Drosophila melanogaster: one gene and its partner. The protein of the gene in region 2 interacts with the protein of the main gene of each other region in a pairwise test. Each region holds a gene or a part of one and is shown on either strand. Other genes may lie near its edges.

Region 1 (7,618 bases), 4.0 Mb from region 2:
AAATTGCATGGAAACCATTTTAATTTTTCAACTATTCATGTACACAGTGTCCTCGTTGAATTTTCATGTCACAAAACGTTGAGAGACTTTCAGAGTGACCGTACTGGCTAGAGCTGGGACGAAAACCGATGCCGCCCGACTGTATCGATGGTTGCCGGAAAATTCGACGGTATCGATACATTCTCCAAACAAATTTATTGGTAAACAAAAACTTTACTTTCAAATTAAATTGACATTGACTACAATATGTGTACTTAGGCTGTATATATTTTATTAAATTTAAGATACAGAAGTTCACGAATGCGTCCATTCTTATCGGTTGTTTTTCCTTAAATAGTGGCAGTCCAAAAAATCTCCAATAGAATATACTAAAATATACTAAAGACCGCTTTAAAATAATGAATTGGTAGAAAACTTTGATTGACAAACTTTTGAGAAGCCGATTTAACCGCTTTTACGTCGCGTAAACCGTTTGCTTAGGAACTAGAAATAAAATTCAGTTTGTTCACTTTGTTGTATATTTGAGGAATTTATTTAGGTCACTGAGTATCGTTAATGATCTTAAATTAGAAGGAAATTAGATAAGTCAGCAGAAAAGCATATACGTTTACTAAGGAGTTTCCAAATCTAAAGCTCTCAAGGGTCCAGATTTTTAACAGAAGGTATACCTGAAAATAGTTTCCTTAAAAAAAAATCATATTGTGACTTTTAAAACAGTTTTGTTAAAATTTTATCAAGCTATAGCTTTTAAATGTTTTCTCCCTTGCTGAAAAGTGAAAATATTCATATATGTTGTACTCGTATATTAAAATCGTGTTATAAGTGGAGTTATTAAAGCAAGTTTAAACACATTAATTTTGCTTTAATAATTTAACGTAGTTCTTTCGTTTATTTTATAGCATTAGTGAAATTTATTTTAAAAGTATTTTTTCATTTCTATTTGGGAAATTATACATAGAACCATGTGTATGTACAGATATAATTTCCGAATCCGAACCTTCTTACCAAACGCAGATTACTCGACAATGCATCTAAATATATGTATAGTTAATGATATATTATTTATCGATTGTGCTCATTGGCACTACTCTCGTACATATTAGTAGAATATTCATCGATTGTCAAGTGGCTGTTACTTTCGATCATACCCGAGTCCATATTGCTATAGTCCTTGGACGCTTTACTTAAACCATCACTACCGCAATAGGGAAGACAACCAATTCTGCCTAAATCATTTGGATTATTGGAATCTAGAGGATTATCAGCACCCGGTGGCAAACTAGTGCAATGTTGCGTACAATTGTCGCAGGGATTCTTATCAGTGGGCACACCATTGCCGGATTGGCATGAATTTGGGGAGGAGGACGGTTCATATTTCCGGGGTCTCCCTCTCGACAAGTGCCGCCTTTTGACAAACTCATTATCGTCGACCATCCAAAACGAGCCAAAGTCATCTTCATAACGTACAAAGCACTTGTGTAAGGAAAGGTTCGTACGAATCGCATTCTTTATGATTGGTTGGACAAAACAAGAGCCCCATCAAGAGTCAGAAACAGGAAATTGCATTATCGTGAAAGGAAGAAAAAGTTCATTGAGATATTAAGGTTAGTTCATTTGTCTTCGGTCTTCTTATTTTCATTTTTCATAACACGCGAAATCCTGGATAATCTTCATCAGCTAAATTCCAGACAGACAGACAGACAGATCGATGAGCAGACGGACATCATTTTGGGTTTCTACCACTAAGAGATTAGAATCACTGTTTACAATTTGCGCTGTAAAAAGATCGTATAATGTCATATTATATCATTTCGATATAGGAGCATGCATGCAATGGCATATGTATATTTACTAACAGAGCAAAACGGAAGGAGTTTGGAGCAAAGTGAGTAGAATTAAACTATTTGAGACCCACATACCCAATGTTCATGGCTACAAAATAGTTAGTGTCCGGCGAATTGGTAGCACCGGTTAGATTGTTACCAATGCCAGCAGTGCGCTGCGGTCGTCTTTTGTAAAACTCAATCTCATCGACAGTCCAAACTGCTCCTTTCACATTCTCAACCCGCATAAAGCACTTATGAAGGGACAGATTGTGCCGGACTGCGTTCTAATGATATATATTATCAGTTAGCATAGGCCAAACTTAATTTGATTATTTTAAGACATATAAAAAGGAAATGGAATAAAACAGGATCTGACCTGTGTAGCTTACCTTGTTATATATCACTTGTATTTAGCTCTATTATACTCTTAAATATTGGCAAAGTAGTGGACAATGTGGAAAAGGTAGTATATAGTATATATACAGCGGACAAGCTAGGAACGCCAATCGGACAAACGAGAGTTATACGGACGGACAAATGGTCATATCAGATCATAGATATCATATCATATAGCATAAATACTCAAATTAAAGTTATGTTGCATAATATATAGATAATATGGAGGAAAGAAGATTTACATATATGGGGCATTTTACCTTCCACGTAGCTGCGTTGCGCCGGAAGTAGCAAAATGTGTTTTGGAACCAGTTGTAGATTTCGTTTAGGGTTAACTGCTTGTCAGGGGAGTCAATTATAGCCTATAAATAAAATATATATAAAAAAAATAAATTAATGTTATATTAGGAAATTGGTTTTTAAAATTACCTGTCTTATGAGGGAAGCATAAGTAAAAGGCGGTCGTACATCAGCATTCTTATAAAACTCTCTGTTTCGATGGATTTCTGCAAATTTAAATTCTTATTATATGTCTTCCAGAAGCACAAGACGAATAGTCATCAAGACGATCAGTCTACATAATTTACTTACCCTGTTGCACATCAAGACCTGCTCTTTCAAGCATATAGGGTAATCCTATATCCAAAAACCATTATTATTTTTATACAGTAATAGTAAATTTTTCCCAAACTTACCCCCATTTATGGAAAATGTATTTTTGTCGTGGTTTCTCTTTTTGATCGAGCACAAGTTGGTGGAATTAACCATTGGAAGATTCAGAGGACTCGGTGAATTTGTTTGTCGGATGGGTCGGCCTATGCTATTTACGGTAAGCGGACTCCGGCAAAACTTTCCCTCTCTTCCGGGCACGTCCTTATATTTATAACTTTTCATTATACCAATACTTACTCACATAAAAAGGGACTTACCTTCCTGTCGATTTTGGTGGGAGACAAAAGCTGCTTGGACAAATACAAGTGATGCATCATTGCCTGCAAGCGATCTCGTTCTTTTTGCAGGTGGGATTCCAGCTGGGAGACAACTTGCATTTGAACCCGTGCCTGTGCTGTTGATCGATCGTCCAAACCATGTTCCGTATTCAGATGCCTAGTTAGATAACATACCCTATATAATTATTTCATACCTCTAATTGTACTCCACCTACTTGACAAACGATGTGATGTCTTCCAAATCCATTTCGCAACCAGGCCAACGGCATATGCCATGAGCAAATAACGGATGATAGTACTTCCGCATGGCGAACTCATCGTGCATATAGCTGAAATCATTGTTGCACACCTCATTATCCTTCGACCGCAAGAATCTCTCTGCATCGGAGAACATGAGCTTCTCCTGCTCGGATATGAACTCGGGCACATTGTAGAAACCCAGATCGGGAACGGGAGCCATCATATGCTGACCCTGTATATGCATGTGTGGATTGGATTCGTGCTGCTGGGCCGCCGTTGAGGATTCATCGATGCTCGAGGCCGGTGAGCTGCACTTAACTACATGTGAGGCAAAGGTGATCGAGTTATTGAGAAAGCCAGTCGGCGGAAAACAATTGTTCTTAACAGCATCTGAGCATATGTCTGGTATGGAAATTTGGTGTCTCGACTTCACTGATATCTCCTTCTGAATCGAACTCTTAAAGTCCGATTCCTTGGCATCCTCGGAATACTCGTCGTCATGTATCCGATGCATGTTTTTAAAACTGAAATTTATAATCATTACCATTGATCCTTTACCCAAGAGATGGGCATATGCAAATACACAGAAATAATCTCTTTTTCGTCTGTCATTAGGAGTCATTTCAATAAAACTATCTTTACTCATATGCCGCCATTCCTGTAAAACTCCGAATCAGAGTGATAGTTTAAGGATTTCTATTTATTACGCCCTATTTAATTTCAGCTTAATTTTCCCGCACTATCATTGAGATGATACTTTCCCCAAAAGTTATGAATATTTAACAACTTGGCGCATATAAGATTTAACCCCTACTAAAGGCCCAGTGCTAAATGAATTCAGTGTAAATTAAATTAAACATTCTTTAAATGTTTGATTTAATTTTAAATATGTTACAAATAAAATGCCACGTCATCCGGTGCAGTTAATCTGTAAATATAAAGGTTATTCATAGAAAGCATTTATCATATTTAGGCGTATAACAAGTTTAAGATCTCACAAGGGGATTGCATAGGTGGCAAGGAAACCAGACACATCTTATTTTGCTAAAAAGAAACATATACAACATACATAACATAAGAAACATACAGACGGAACGGTCGGACAAACGGAAGGACATACAAACGGACGGACAAACGGACGGACAAACGGACGGACAAACGGACGGACAAACGGACGGACAAACGGACGGACAAACGGACATACAAACGGAAGGACATACAAACGGACGGACAAACGGATATAAAAACGGACGGACGTTTTGGCTATAGGATGAACTTAAATGGAAGAGTATATGAGTTTTGCAGATAGGACCATCTTACGATTGTTTTAATCAAATTCCTGTAATGAAAAATTATATAGCCACCTAAAATAAGAATAAATGTAAATGGTGAAATATGTAAGTATTAAATGTTTTATAGGAAAAGAAGAAAGATATAAAAGAGAAGAGAGAGGTATGGTTTTCATCACATTCGAAGATCCTGAAAAAATAGTATTATATTCGATATACATAAGCTTTTTGTGTAAAGGCGAATAAAGATAAATATATTGTTGGTATTGTGTAGATTTGCATTGTCTGTATTCGTTGGGGGCATTGATTATTCCAAGGGGTATATATGGGTAAATAAAATATTCATATTTCATATGTATACATATCATACAATTTCTGTATAAGAACTGTTTAAACTGGGACTTTTAAGATAAAGTTGTCTGCCTAGACTACTCAACAATATCTTAATTAACTTAACAGACTAGACTTAAATTTTGCGAATACATACATGCACATACAATTTTGCAGACAAAAGAGGATACAATTTTGCATGTACATTTACAATTAAATAACATTCACAGAGGTTTCCAAAGAACAATATTATATTTAATAACGGGCGAATTTTTTAATACAACTTTTCACATATATGTAAAATTAATTTAAACTTAAAAACTATCTTAAGAATATTTTTCGCTGCTACTCCTGAAAAGGTACGTCTACGACTACTGAATTTGCTAGAAATATGTGTACACATTTTTGCGCATGCGTTTCAAAATGCATCCTAAGGCTCCATTACACGTAACGATTTCAAAAATTAAAAACTTTTAAAAGTCAACATTAATTTGCCCAATTAATATTAATATTTAAAGCAATAAGAAAGTGATAAGTAGGGTTTTTTACGGAGGGGTAATTTCCAATAAATATATGATTTACCAATTTCCTTATATGAGAAAGTTTTATTCTTATTAACACAAAAGTTAAATTCCATCTAAAGACGAATATTTCCCATTTAAATAAGCCATTTTAAGCAATTGTGTTAAACTGTTTTATTGCGAAACTGTTTTATGCATTGGTATTTGGTAGAAAGAAAGTGATGTTTATAAAGTTGTAATGGCTGTATCATTTGTTGACAACGTTTTCTCTAGTATTCCTCATCTTCCCCCAGTTCGGTGGTGGAGTCGATGCCTACCTCCTCGTAGTCCTTCTCGAGGGCAGCGAGATCCTCGCGAGCCTCGGCGAACTCGCCCTCCTCCATGCCCTCACCCACGTACCAGTGGACGAAGGCCCTCTTGGCGTACATCAGATCGAACTTGTGATCCAGACGGGCCCAGGCCTCGGCAATGGCAGTGGTATTGGACAGCATGCAGACGGCGCGCTGCACCTTGGCCAGATCTCCGCCAGGAACAACGGTGGGTGGCTGATAGTTGATGCCCACCTTGAAGCCCGTGGGACACCAGTCGACGAACTGGATAGAGCGCTTGGTCTTGATGGTGGCAATGGCTGCGTTCACATCCTTGGGCACCACATCACCGCGGTAGAGCATGCAGCAGGCCATGTACTTGCCACGACGCGGATCACACTTGACCATCTGGTTGGCCGGCTCGAAGCAGGCATTGGTGATCTCGGCCACGGTCAGTTGCTCATGGTAGGCCTTCTCCACGGAAATGACGGGAGCGTATGTCGCCAGTGGGAAATGAATGCGTGGGTAGGGCACCAAATTGGTCTGGAACTCGGTCAGATCCACATTCAGGGCGCCATCGAAGCGCAACGAGGCCGTAATGGAGGAAACGATCTGGCCAATTAGGCGATTGAGATTCATGTAGGTGGGTCGCTCGATATCCAAGTTGCGCCGGCAGATGTCGTAGATTGCCTCGTTGTCAACCATAAACGCACAGTCCGAGTGCTCCAGCGTTGTGTGGGTGGTTAAGATCGAGTTGTATGGCTCGACCACAGCTGTGGACACCTAACAGGAAGTTCGATTATTAGATTGCCTTTCGAAGACTAATTTCCCATGTCTTTTACTAATTATGTTAATTGGTCTTCTATAAATGCTCAAGCAATAGATATAATATCCATATGCAAATGACATACTTGTGGTGCTGGGTAAATGGAGAACTCCAGCTTTGACTTCTTTCCATAGTCCACGGACAGGCGCTCCATCAGCAGCGACGTAAATCCAGAGCCAGTGCCGCCGCCGAAGGAGTGGAAGACCAGGAATCCCTGCAGACCCGTGCACTGATCCGCCAACTTGCGAATCCTGTCCAGGACCACGTCGACGATCTCCTTACCGATGGTATAGTGGCCGCGGGCATAGTTGTTGGCCGCATCCTCCTTACCGGTGATCAGTTGCTCCGGATGGAACAGCTGGCGGTAGGTTCCTGTCCGCACCTCATCCACCACAGTGGGCTCCAGATCCACGAACACGGCACGCGGCACATGCTTACCAGCTCCAGTCTCGCTGAAGAAGGTGCTGAAGGAGTCATCGCCTCCGCCCACGGTTTTATCGGAGGGCATATGGCCATCGGGCTGGATGCCGTGCTCCAGGCAGTAAAGTTCCCAGCAGGCATTGCCGATCTGGACACCAGCTTGGCCAATGTGAACCGAAATGCATTCCCTCTGGAACAGAGTTTATAATAATGTGACTCATGTCGCTGTAAATTTGGGTAATTCTAAAATTTAACTTTGGACTTCCGGTTGCAAATCTGTGATTTGGACCATATGCTACAAACAATTTTGATCGCTGTAAGTTCTTGGGTATTCATTTAAGATAATAGTTTACAAGCAGTTATATTTTTTAAAACCATTAATTAATCACTTGCAAAAATGAATAAATATTGCACCATATGGTCTAGTTTTGCATGAAATCGCATATAAGGACTTTTAAGGATCCATAGTTCTGTGCAGCCGACGAAATTTCAAAAGTCCAGCTAAATCATTG
Region 2 (5,169 bases):
GAGTGTTGAATGGAAAACTATTCTTGGATATAAACCAAATATAGTTGTTAGTGGCTAGTCATTGTTGGCATTTGTTGAAACCATTTAGATAGTGCGGTGCGCTGATGATAACACAACCAATGCAAATAGTTGCTTTTGTTCCCTATATTTGAATTATATTGGTTGTAGCTATTAATATTTCCCAAGTAAGCAATTAGGATAATAAAGGGACCTTGGGACTCTTATAGCCTTGTAAATGGATCTAAAATTTCAGTCTGTAGTTTGTAATGAAGTGACATATAACTTGTACAGCCTATATAATAGCAGATATAAGGTATGTAAACTTCTTTTCAATTTCAATCTTATCCAATCGTCTGAACTATATTTCCGCAAATAAGGAATGCAAGTTTATTAAGTCTAAAAATATATATATTTTCATAGCTTTTTTGGTGACAACATAGCTTATTTTACATATTTTCTATGTTTTCATTATATATTGGCAGATTTGGAAAGGTACTCACATTTGACTTGCCACAGTCAGCGCCTGTTGTTCTTCTTGCATTTAAACTAAAGATCATAAAAATTATTCTGGAAAGAATTTTATTCAAATGAAAAAATGTAAACCCTTTCAAATTCAAAAATGCAAACTTTTTGCTAGCAAAGGTTTTTTAACTGAGAAAGTGTTAAAAGTTAAGATTAATATCATAAATAATAAAATGTAGTTTTGTAAATCGTTAGAATTTTGACCATCGTCAGTTTATTGCCGTCTGCTATAAATCAAGTTTTATACGCACTTGGCCAACATCGAGGCTTCAACGTATGTATTTACTGTAAATTGGGGAATTCTAATCCACAAAGAATGTGAGGGATGCCCGCTTGGTTCACCCAGAGCATTCCCCTTCGATACATTTGGTTAGCACGATTGCGGCCTGCCAAGGATTTCAGGTAGTGGGCCTCCCAATTGTCCTCCCCACCGAGTTCCATCCCCTTGCTATGTTGGCGCGTGCTGGTGGCCCATTGACGTCACAACGCCAGGGAGTTGAGTTAAGCGATGGGGCTGAAGAGGAAAAATCAATACGCAGCTTGTTTCATTTTCATTTCCATTTTCCCAACACGCCTCTGCTGCGGCGCTGTTGTTGCTGTTGCTGTTACCGCCGCTTCAATTGTTGCCACTCTAGCTGTTTTGCCACCTCCTGCTCGGGAAGTCACTCAAGTCGCGTTGGTAATCCGCTTTTGGTCGAGTCACTTGAGTCGCGTCACTCCCCTAGTCCCCCAACCCAGAGTTTGCTTTCTTCTCTGCAGTGGCATAAATGCCTTCGCACTTCATCGTCATCCCCATCGCCATCGCCGTCGCCAGCCCGCTGTCCTCGAGCTCTTCGGTGGCTCACGCGGCGTATGCGTTATATTCCTGGCGGATACACACTAAGCTTGTGCCACATAGCCAGGCCACTGCATTCCAGTTGGCTGCTGTTTTGCCTCGCATGATGGAAGTCGGTTTCGTGGTCTGCTGATCTTTGGACCCATGTATGCCATCTGCGGTCTCTTGACGTCGTTGCTATGCTGCACATTGCAGATTGCTGATGTTGCTTCCGGATATTCGTGCAGATGACACACATAATATTCGCATTACACGAAGCTGGAATATTTCTTCATTTCGGTATAGTATTTGCCATCATTGTTTACTATTGGATAAATGTGCTTATAGTTATTGACAAACAGATACTTTGCAAACGAAAAATTGACTATGATAGAGCATTCGATTTTGAATATTTAGATATTGCACCAATCACAAAACCCCTAATTTTAAAACGCGTTCTTGCTGGTGGCCGTACAATCATCCAACCAAGTGGGCAGATGGACACTAACGCCGCTGAGAGATGTACATTCGCTGCCCAGGGAGAGGCCACTGTTGGACATGCAGTCGCTGGAGGTCTCCTCCACTTTGGCCTTCTTCCTGGCACTATCGTTCTGTTCCGATCTGGAAATGGAGGGGGTGCCGCTTCTCGAAGTAAGGTCCTGGTCCTGATCCTGGTCGTCTGGATCCTCCGCCATCTGTCGGCGCAGCGGAGACTTCACTCCCATACGAGCGCTTCCCAGATGCCGGCCAGATTTGTCCTCCTCGAAGGACATCAGTTCACCAAAGCGCAGGGCATTCAGGTTGTCAATGTCCATAAGGATGTCCTCCATGTACATGAACATCAGACTACGATGGATCTTCGTCCACGAGGACAGGGCGGCCAGACTCCACAGCTGGCTGGAGTGGCGGGCAAAGGTGCCGACGTTGGTGGTTGCCATGTGGCCCACACAATTGATCAGCATGTACGCGTCCCTGTACTTGGCAATGGTGTCCTCGTCCAGCATCTTTTTTGGGGAGAAAGGTGCCTCGTGGCACAACTGTGCGAATCCCCAAACGAATGGCACAAACTGAAACTTATCCAGCGAGTATCCACCATGCCAGTTGGACGAGTTCACGGAATAGGTTACCTGCAGGCGGCGCACAAAGTGCAAGTAGCGATCGAATAGAACCAAAGCCGAGGCGGCCAGGTCCTGTTCCTTATCGAGGATCTCGGCCTTAAAGAGGGCGCACACGAAAAACAGGAAGCTCAGCTCGTGCCCGGTCCCGTACTCGATTTTGGCGGAGCTGCCGAAGGAGCCCGATAAATACACGCCCAGCTCGTTGACGTGTCTGCACTTGCTGGAGGGCACCGCCTTCTCCACAATCTTGTATATGTCCCTTAGCATGCCGTGCGCCCAGCGTCTGTAGCTCTTGGTTCGTGAATCCATATTGGCACCTAGAACGAGCGGCGCCGGAGAATTGGCCACAATCATGGAGTCCAGCTGTTCGAAGATGGTCGTCAGTCGCTTGATGTTCTTACTGATTGGAAACAAGTCGGTGTTCCGGATTCCCTGTATCTCGGCGCTCACATCGTTCAAGTACGTGATCAGTGTAAAGTACGCCCTTGAGGCTAGCCAGGCTTCCATGTCCGAACTGGACTGCACCCGGCACACGGGTCCTATGTTGCTTCTCCGGAAGAAGGCGGCCACCCGCTTGGGATTCACCTCACTCTGCGGCTCCATCTCCTTGAGTTTCTACAGTCTGTATTTGTGTCAATGGTTTTCAGGTTGTCATGTGCTTGAAAATCGAGTGCTATAACAACTGTTTCAATAGCCTCACAAAACTAAAACCTATTTTACATACATTTAGGGTAAATATTTATCTCATTTTTAAAACTCCTTGATAATTGAGTTAGATGCCGTTTTTATTTATATTGATCTTTATTTAAAAATGATAACTACTACGCTTTAGTACCCATTTAAAGCTTGAAATATATTCTTAAAATGTGTTGAACCCTTTTTTTTTTAATAATAATGAAGAGAAAAGGATTTTCCAATTAATAATAATAAAGAGAATAGGATTTTCAAATTAAATTAAAAACAATAGATATCATTAAAGTCATGTTCCCCGGCTATCAGATACCCATTACTCAGCACTATAGTGGAAGTGCGAACGAGAAGTTTAAAAATTTGTCTAACATATTGAAAGGAATTATTGTACAAAATATCTATATCTCTGAATCTCTGCATGCCTAATTCCAACTTTATAGCTTTTATAGTTCCTGAAAGGTCGACGTTCATACGGACGGACAGAGGGACATCCCAAGATCGACTCGTCTATTGATCCTGATGAAGAATATTAAGTATAGGGTACTTTATAGGGTCGCTTCTTTAACTCTAAGAGTAACGGGTATAAATAAGATATATATCTATAAGATACGCTCAGTACGACGCAGCAATTGTGCTGTATGTGATGCAAGAGTAGCGAGAAGTTTCCCCATCCCTTAGCAAGAACCTTTAATGACCACTTACGATAAATAATAAGGTGCGGATGGAGTTGCCCCCTTATATAAGCTTACCCTTATTCTTTGGAGTGACCCTGTGGATAGTTAGGGCCATATTTCATAGCTGGCGACTCGCTATTAAGACGTCAGAAGTAACAACAGCAGAACAACAGTTACTGCAGTTAAAGCTAATTATAATGCTAAGCTGCGCCAACGTTCACAACAACAACAATGATAACAACAACAACGACATAATGCAGTGCAATGAACAATTGTAGACAATTTATTAGGCAACAGTCACCACATCAACAACAACAACAAAAACAACGAACAGCAGCTGGGGCACGCAAATGTAATGGAAAAACAGTTAGATCGTATAAATCACGGGGAAAAAACACGCGACTTCTGCTCCTGGCAACGATTCTAATGACAACAACAAACGGGCAAATGTAACAACAACGTGCAAAGGCAAGTGCAAAGGCAAATGCAAATGCAAAAACAGTAACTTCATTCCCCAGCTGTTTTTGAAATGACGCTAACTGCACTTCAAAGCAAATGAATATGTGTGGGTGGACCATAGAGCGATACAATTAAAAAATCAAAAAGATCTTAAAATTGCCTGTTCATTTTTACTCAACATTATGCTTACATTATTTATTGGGTATTTATTTATCATGAACATCGCTAAAGAAATAATACACTGCACTTTTGAATAGTTCATCAACAATTGGTCCACCCTAACATGCACTTATGTACACTGCTCGGCTCGAAAGTAAATGCACCTGGGAACGTGACTGCATCAAGTATGAGACTTGATTCCAATTAGGAATCGCGAAGAAAGGGGGAGAGTACCCAAAGAATGGCCAAAAGAGGTCAAGCAGTCAATTGTTCCAGCCAGTGAAAAGATTACGTATACGCAGTGTGCCACATAACAATTAGGGAAAACAATTTGAAAAGAAGAATATACAACTTAATAATAATAGAAAACTAAAAATAAAATGAAGAGTTCCATTATGTTGTAAATGTAACCTACTAATTATCATAAAAATGGCATCTAAAGGATATTTTCCAAGGTTGCCGAGTGAATACAATTTAAAACCCATTTGATATAAAAGGTAAATGGTAGAAAGGCTATTCTATTTTAAAATTACAATTTACCAGACAACAAAGCCTTTGCAAAACCCTCAATTCGATACTCAATAAACGAAGAGAGGCATTGCCTGTGATGGACAGCATGAATCCTTCGTCAAGTGTCAAAGGAAATTAATTAAATTTAAAATGTCATGCCAGGGTGAATGACTTGCTTTTAACTCTGGTCGTACGTTAGGTATTTTCCTTTTAATTTGAATTT

Evidence for each region.
Region 1: the proteins of CG2104 (region 2) and FoxP interact in a two-hybrid assay, tested with the Drosophila melanogaster proteins (one large-scale study listed by BioGRID).

The regions. Positions count from the first base shown.
Region 1 is NT_033777.3:9,725,508-9,733,125, forward strand, and holds FoxP (forkhead box P), read right to left. Parts: upstream 5,366-7,618; 5' UTR 3,927-5,365; coding exon 3,388-3,926; intron 3,330-3,387; coding exon 3,152-3,329; intron 3,096-3,151; coding exon 2,918-3,095; intron 2,859-2,917; coding exon 2,814-2,858; intron 2,729-2,813; coding exon 2,652-2,728; intron 2,585-2,651; coding exon 2,483-2,584; coding exon of another isoform or gene 2,420-2,482; exon of another isoform or gene 2,111-2,419; coding exon of another isoform or gene 1,901-2,110; exon of another isoform or gene 1,644-1,900; intron 1,507-1,643; coding exon 1,063-1,506; 3' UTR 513-1,062; downstream 1-512. Other genes in the region: hyd (hyperplastic discs), read right to left, coding at 1-18; alphaTub85E (alpha-Tubulin at 85E), read right to left, coding at 5,822-6,643, 6,772-7,296.
Region 2 is NT_033777.3:5,690,186-5,695,354, forward strand, and holds CG2104 (uncharacterized protein), read right to left. Parts: upstream 3,102-5,169; 5' UTR 3,058-3,101; coding exon 1,783-3,057; 3' UTR 706-1,782; downstream 1-705.